2 linked regions of the Neurospora crassa OR74A genome follow. The protein of the gene in region 1 interacts with the protein of each later gene in a pairwise test. Links are inferred from orthologs where the notes say so. Each region holds a gene or a part of one and is shown on either strand. Other genes may lie near its edges. The genes, in order: NCU01820 and NCU03905.

Evidence for each region.
Region 2: the proteins of NCU01820 (region 1) and NCU03905 interact in a two-hybrid assay, tested with the Saccharomyces cerevisiae proteins (4 studies listed by BioGRID). The link is inferred for Neurospora crassa OR74A from reciprocal best matches to the Saccharomyces cerevisiae genes CRM1 and YAP1.

The regions. Positions count from the first base shown.
Region 1 is NC_026502.1:2,295,629-2,299,547, reverse strand, and holds the start of NCU01820 (exportin-1), read right to left. Parts: upstream 2,871-3,919; 5' UTR 2,250-2,870; coding exon 2,184-2,249; intron 2,116-2,183; coding exon 2,086-2,115; intron 2,012-2,085; coding exon 1,939-2,011; intron 1,871-1,938; coding exon 1,799-1,870; intron 1,720-1,798; coding exon 995-1,719; intron 942-994; coding exon 1-941. UniProt on the Saccharomyces cerevisiae protein: Receptor for the leucine-rich nuclear export signal (NES).
Region 2 is NC_026506.1:2,106,468-2,110,386, forward strand, and holds the start of NCU03905 (hypothetical protein), read right to left. Parts: upstream 2,871-3,919; 5' UTR 1,797-2,870; coding exon 1,347-1,796; intron 1,277-1,346; coding exon 535-1,276; intron 468-534; coding exon 149-467; intron 92-148; coding exon 1-91. UniProt on the Saccharomyces cerevisiae protein: Transcription activator involved in oxidative stress response and redox homeostasis.

The sequences.
Region 1 (3,919 bases):
CCGCAAGCCTCATAGAAAGTATGTACCTGTTGAGGAGTCAAGTCGCAAGTGATCTTGCCAAGGTCCCTGATGATCTCCTCAATGAAAGGCTGAGACTCGCTAGGCTGGAGCGCAACAAAGTGGCGTCTGCAAGACTTGGCAATCTTAATAAAAGTATCGCAGGCCATGTCCTGGACACCCTCGTGAGACTCGTGCATGAACTCGAACAGCTTGTTGACGACCGTCTTGAGGAACTTCCAGTGCGCCTTGAGGAAACGGGGATACTGTCCGACAATGTACATGATGTTACTGGCGACGACGGCCTTGTTATCTTTGCCCCGCTTCATTTCGGTCAGTCCAAGAAGATCCTTGATAACAGTAACAAGGAACCTCTTCTCCGTCTCTTCGTTCATGGCGAGAGAAATAGAACCAATAGCCCAGCAGAGAACGTTGCAGTTGTGCCATGACCATTCGGATCCATCGACTTGGCGTGCGAGCTTGTCGGTCATAATCTGCTCGGTGTCGACCACATCCAAATGGGTGAGATAAACGAGACACTCGCGGATGGTCTTGTAAAGCTGGACAGTGTCGGTTTCCTTGACAAACTCGCGGACAATCTCGCCCTCGTCGTTCTCAACAATGAGGACTTCTTCGGGGCGCACCATCTTCTCGATCATGACAACACGCAGGTTGGAAAGAATCTCGTTGTACTTGTGCTTGCGGAGAGGGTAGTTGTTGAGCAGAGCGGGGTTCGGGGCGCCGCTGGTCTGCAGACCACCGCTAAGAAGAGGGTTCATATCGGAAAGGGGCAAGGCCTGCATCTCCTCATAGAGCTCCTGGACGAGCTTGAGCCAGTAGTCGAGGCAGATCTTGAAGATTTCGCGGTCTTCAATCTGCGAAATTCTGATTAGGTAATAGTGACCATGTGTAAGAAAGTCACGGTTCGGCAGGTTTTCGATGAGCTAGATACCATATTAGTACTACGATCATGAGCTCACAAATCTCAGCTACTTACGGGCAGGTGCATGCCAAAGAAATTGCAAAGGAACAGCGCCAAGTTCTGGATGAATTCCTGGTCGCGAGAGTTGCTGGCCGGGTAGGTCGCCTTCAAGTCCATGCTGAGAGGAATGATGTTGGAGATGGTCGTCAGGACCTCGGTGAACATCTTGATGAGGGCCTCGCCATAGTTGGGCTGTTGGCCCGTAGGACCCCCTATTTGCAAACCACCAATCTCGGTCAAGCACTGGAGAGTAATGTTTCGGAACTCGGGAACCTCCAAGAAACGCGTCCGAAGGGTTTCAATAAGAGGGGTCTCGAAGATATAACCGAGAGGGATCCAGTTGCAGAAGCGCAACAGGGTTTCGAGGGTGGCCTTGATAAGGCTGGGCTGGTTGGCAGAGTTGAGAACTTCCTGGCAAAGCTGGAAAATCTGCGAGAACTCGGCGCACATGGTGGTCTTGAGGTTCCGTGTCTTTGTCGACGTCATCTGCTCCGCGGAATAGTCGAAGACCTCTTCGGAGAGGAGTCGCAGAATGATCATGTTGTTCTCGCAGATCGAAAGGCTCGAGCGAGAGGCAGAGATAATCTCGTTGATGAAGGTAGGCCAGTTATGAGGCCACTCTTGCTTGAGGACGGAGACGAGAACAAGGTTAAGCTTGTTGAGCAGGACACGGTGGGCCTTGAGAAGCTCTTCGGAACTCGAACATTGGAGGATATACTGGACGACAAAGTTGCGGATACCTGAAAGAGAGAGAGAGAGAGAGACAAGTTAGCTACTGTAGGGGCATTAAGCTTCCAAAATGGCCATGTTTTCACGTACCATGACACTGCTCGCGGGGGAGCACCTTCCACCTCGTCATAATCACATTGTCGAGGACCTGTAACCCCAAGTCTACAAACCCTGTCAGTATATGACATTCTGGATATGAACTGTCTGGTACGTAGGCGGGATTGACGGACACTTTGTCTGCTCGTAGGTGGCCTTCTGGAGGATCTCGTCGACCATCAACCAGGCATCGGGATCTTCCTTGAACTGTTTGAAGGATGCTATGTTAGCCCTGGCTGTCAGGACAAAGGAGGGTCGAGTTTGGCTATTGGCAGACATACCTGGTTCAGGACGGTTTGGGCCTGAGCTTGCTATTCAAGCAGAAAACAGAACGTCAGCATCTACACAGGGCGAACCAGAATCCGGCGTCGTTATTTACCGTCTCGCCGCGACCTTCATAGAAGGTGCGGACTTGGTTGTCCAGTTCCTCGATGGAGAGGGGCATGGTCGCGTTCCTCTACTGATTTGGGATGCAGAGGGGTTGGTAGCAAGGTATGGGTACAGCGGGTAGCTGAACAGTGGATAGTCTCGAGCAGGATGGGTTTGCTGCTACCAAAGTTCGGCGAGACAAATGGGAGGAGATCGACAGCTCGTTGCTGGTCTGGCGGGGAGAAAAGGACTAAGGTAGATGGAGGGATTGCGAGGTGAGGGGTGTTTGGGTCCAGACGTGGTGTGTGAATGGCCTAGGTCCAGGTCTGTTTGGTTGTCCGGGTCACGGTGCGTGCCAAACGAAACGAAACGAAGCGAAGCGCAGCTGGCTTGACGGCCGGGTTGCTGGGGCCGGGAGATGGAATGAATAATCCAGACAGGAGGAGACGTGGGGCACAATCGTCGTGGTCGCGAGCCTGGAGCGAGAGAAAGGAAACAACGAACGGGTCGAGTCGGGTTGTTGGGTTGGCGTTTTTGCGAGTGCAGTGTTGCGTGTTGATCAGTGCAAGTCAAATGGAAGGTTCACAGTTTGGCAAAAAAATGAAGCGAACCTCGAGGCTGCAGAAGTGCAAGAGGCGTGAAGGGGCCTGCGCGCGGCGGTGCAGTGGGATGTGCACTTCAATTTGCAGTGGGATGACGGAGGTTATGGAGCTGGAGCTGGACTGGAGGGAGCATTGAGAATCGGGTCGAAAGCCCAGAAAGGCCGAACCGTGATGGACCCCACCAGCCTCCCGTTCCGATTTGGCATGCACGTCCACCAGGACGCCCTTGTTCGTTGCGGAGGTTGACGGATGTTGAGGTGACGCCCTCCGCGCGCGCTCGCTGGACCTTTGGACTGGACCACGGGATTCCGCGCCTCTGGGACGGCTTCCCTTCCAGTCGTTCTTTTCACATTTCACCACTGGGACCACGTCGGGTTCCAGATGTCGTCCGCGCAACCCAAAACGGTATTTATCTGCTTGTAGTCTTAACAGCAACCCAAAGCCATCCAACTGAGACCCATCGTGGGCTTTCCGAGAAAAGTTCTTGTCGATATGTCAGCATCATATCTGGATATTCTTCCCAAACGGCACCAAATGAATGTTTACTGGGTAATTTATGCTTGGTTCAGTTGCTATTTAACTTGGGATAGCACACTGCCTGTACATAGATACTTCAGAACCTAGCTCACACAAAGTCCGCTCTTGTCCTAACGAACAGACCTAGGTAATACCATTTCACCACCATTCCATATACACCAACATACATATGTCAGTATTAAGGACCTTCTGCTTCCCGAGTCTGGACAACCATTCAAACACAGCTCTTGAAACTCTACACTACATAGGTCGACCGGATATAGCTATCCTGAGATATCTCCGCATCTTCACTGCGGCCCATCGATCCGGTACAGCTGCCATGTACATCACTTGATAGCTCCGTATCAATATTTCCCCAGTGGAGATGCCCAGGCGTCAGGATTGCCCCGCTTTTGCTACCCTGGGATTGTCCAAGACGAGGACGAAAAGCTCCAGGCGTACTTACCGGCTATGCAGTTGAGGTTTGCTCGTCTAGCCTCGGTACTTACTTCCCTTCCCTTCTCCAACGTACACTATGTCCCTTTCACTGGTACACTAGACTCCTTATCAAGGACACCCCCGGATCGCTGGCATGTCGCAGCAGAGGTAGTGGCAGTATCTCAACCAC
Region 2 (3,919 bases), on another chromosome or scaffold:
AGAGCACTTTGCTTTCTTCTGCAGATCGGAGCACAAGGCGTCCATATCAATCTCTTGGTTTTGTACACTGGAGCAACTGCGCAATTTGTCCCTGTTGAACATGTTAATAAAAGTCACATTTTCGAGGCCTCTCTCGGTTTGGTCATACCAGATCTTGCTGCAATCAAGTTGCTCTCTGACTCCATCATCCGATGCGTTGACCTCATCGATCTGAGCGATGAGATCCTTCTTCGGTGGTTGTGATTCTGCTTCGGGTTGTGGTGGCAGCAACCCTGGAGCTGTTGGTGGCAGATTATACGGTGCCAGGAAATCCGCATCGAATGCATCATTGGTCAACCAATCGTCAAATCCATTGTTGAGGACATTGTTCTGAGGCTCTCGGTAATCTCCGAAGAGCTGCGGATCAAACTGGAAATTGTCTTGAGGCAACCAGTTGAGAGTGTTGTCAACACCAAAAGTATTAAAGTCTAGAAAGTGTTGGTAAATTCTGGCCTATACAATCAGAGCGAACATTGAAGACTGGTGAATGCTTACCTGGCTGCCCTGAACCAATGACGCCTGGTTGCTCTTCTCCGATTGTGGCCATCGTATCTACTGACTTCAATCCGACGGGCGAATGAGTTAGAGGCTCTGGGGAGGTGCCACACGACGAACTAGCGCCACCCATGTTCGAAGCGCAAGAGGACGGGGAACTCGTTGACGTGCCGGCCCCCGCATTGTACTGAGAATCTGTTCCCCTGGTCGAAAAGTTCGCTCCCTCACCTCTTGCGGACTGAGGTGTGAAGAGATCGGCCGAGTAATGGGCCAAGTCTTCCTTGGTTTGTGTATCAAGGCCTATTTGGCCGTAATTGGGTGTAGTACCGGTGCTGACGCCATTCGTGGGTTGCTCCAGCCGACCTGTTGAAGACAAAGGGGGCGACACAGGGGTTCCCTTCTTGGTTTGATTTGCAGATTGTGGTCCAGGAAGAGGACCGCCAAACTTGGGGAATTCAAACTGGAAATTGACATCATTGAGGTTGCTGACAAAGGAGTTGCCGAACGGCATAGCCCGAGGTGATACCATCGGGGGTCGAGCTGTCATCAACGATAGACGCTTCTTGTACTCGTTCAGTTCGTTACTCATCTTCTCCATTTTCTTGCGAAGAATCTCGTTCTCATGGTTGGCAGTCTCGGAGATCTTCTTCAACTCTTCGACCTTGGTTTCAAGGTCCTTCAAGTGCTTTTCTTTGCGTTCTCTGAACGCTCGTTGAGCTGCTCGATTCTGGGCCTTGCGTTTCTGTTATTGTCACGTTAGTAGTCAATCCTTACTGAGACTCGAAAGGATCAATCGACCGAGGCAGGCTTACCGAGCTGGGCTCAGTGGTAAGAGGCTTCCTGCCGGGCTTTTTGGCAACTTTTCCCTCGCCCTCTCTCCTCTTTGGTTCGCTATTCTCCTCCTCGTCGTCATCCGGATGACTGCGCTTGTCGGGGGACTCCACATCGGCGGAGCCCGACTTGGAATCACTTGGAGCATTGGACCGATCGTCCGTCATGTGGGATTGATCACCAGTGTCGAAGTTGAAATCGAAGTTGGGGTCATGTTGTCCATCAAGGCCGTAGTCGTAACCGAAATTCGGGGTGTGCTGGAAACCCATAGGGTCGAGTCCTTGGGCAGACGTTCCGTTGTACATTGCGGATAGACCAGAGAGGTCGGCTTGTGTGTTGATGGGCTTGTTGGAATTGAGGGCGGCAAACAACAGGCTTTGTTGCTGCGGGGTGAGGACGAGATTGTGAAGAGGGTTCTGAGTCGACGTCATTTTCGGTTGTCTTGTATTGGAGATGGTGACTAAGAGGTAGAGCAGTCGGTTGAATCGAGGAAAGACCTTGGATGTTGAAAGGATGGGATGAATTCACTCTCGTGATCTGATCGCTCCTAGCGGTCGGAGCCGCACAGGCGGCAATTGTCGAGTATCAAGACCGCGGGTCCAATGGCAATGTGTTTTAGCGGAGGTCCGGGGTACCGGGCCCAAGATGTACGTATGTCCTGGTCGAAAACTGATGTCGGGGTAGATCAGATGCTAGTACGGGTGACGATAGAAAATCTCTTGCGGAGACGATGACGTTTCGACAGCACCGTAGACTGACTTTGGATCAGACGGGGACGAGCCAGCGGCCACGCAACTAGCAGCTTGAAAGGCAGAAAACTCGTTGAGCGTTGCGGGCTAGGACGGAATACCAAACCGGGCAGTTCCAGTTCCTGTCCAGTTCTCTCCCGCTTCTCTAGTTTTCGAGACTCAAGTCTTCTCCCAAGGAAGACGTTCGGTGTGAGGTGATGGGGTTTGCCGGGGGTCAAAACGAGAGGAAGGCAGTAGGATAACTTGAACTGAGACAGAAGAGAGGGGACTTGGTCCGAGTGGCAAGTTACAAAAGACGCGGATGTATTTGCACGGAATAGGTAGAGGTACCAGGGCGAAGTTGTGGCAGAAGGTGTAGAGAAGGGGGGAGAAAATTGCGAGTGCCCGAGATGTGAGCCGGAAAGGTTAACTGCCTGCTGGAACAGAACTAACCGTTGGCCGAGCCGAGTGGGTGGGATGGCGGCGGACGCTGACTTGAATTGATGGGCAAACCTATCGGCCTGACACCTGACTCACCTGGCACTCAGCCTTTCGGAATCCTGTCAGCAATTGGGTTCAGGAAATAAGGTACACGTATGATCCCGCGGGGGCTCCTTTTCTGCGATTGGAGAGGCGACGGCACAGGCTGCAGAGCAGGTTTGTGTTTCGTTGGTTCGCTGATACGATTCAGATCTGAGAAGGGAAGGACTCTTGGGCGGTCTTTGGCGATGGAGGGGACGAGACTAAGCGAGACCGTCCAAAAGCGGGCGAAAAGAGTGGACGCTCTTCTTTGGTTACAGGGCCAAACTCGTAGAATGCGGGCTACACGGGGCACAATTGGGCGCATGGACGCTTGGGGGTGTCCAAGTGGAGCGTGGAGGGGTTTCAGTCCAAAGTCAATTTGTCAGCGAAAATCAGTCGAAGGGAACGTCTGGATCGTTCCTGGACGGTCGGGTCGGGTGCGCCGTGACCGGCTCTGGCAACTGTCAGCACACCTTGACATGCCGACGACACCCCGAGTCGATTCGTTCAACAAAAGGACTGACAGTGAGTTCTATCAGATGCAGACAATCAATCAAAATCAGTCGGACCGTTTCCACAAAAGGTACCTCTATGTCGGTATCTTTTCCTATAAGGGATTTCTCTTGTTTCATTGCGTCCCACTACGTAGAGGATCACATTGACCGATTTGACGTGAGTGGGCTTCAAGCAAGAGCTGCCAGTGTCAATCTCTTGAACCGTACAAAAAAAGCCACTTTTTGTTTGACCTACACGTGTATGTACTACAGTATGTAGTTCTAGTCGGAGCCTCTCGAGTGCAGCCCGTCCACTTTTCATCGACGTGGAAATACATCAGTTTCCGCGGGTACCCCAAGTGGAGATTCTTGCAGGCAAAACACCGGAGTGGATAATAAGTGGCCTTTGTTCGACGGTGAAAGAGATGCACTCTCCTCTATCTCCGCATCAACTTGAGTTTTACAAACCTTAACCACAAATAGTGTACACTACACGTGTACTGTGTCCAAGCAAACAACAGCCAGGGGCATTTGTTTGAAAAATGGGCGCACTCGGTGTCGTGATTATCACCGTCGCAATTAGCTCGAGTCTGGCATGCTGGTTTGCCACTGAGACCTGAGTTCGAGACCCAGTCTCCCCATTGAAGATCCCACGTTGTTTCCGTCTTCCTGTCGGCAGTTCAGACGCCTCGTCGATAGGAAGCCCGCATGGCTTATCTCCGAGTGGCTACAAAATATACAATTCTCAGCTTACGGACAACTTGCCATCTGGTTTGGATTACCTGGCCAGCCTGGAGCCTGGACACAAAA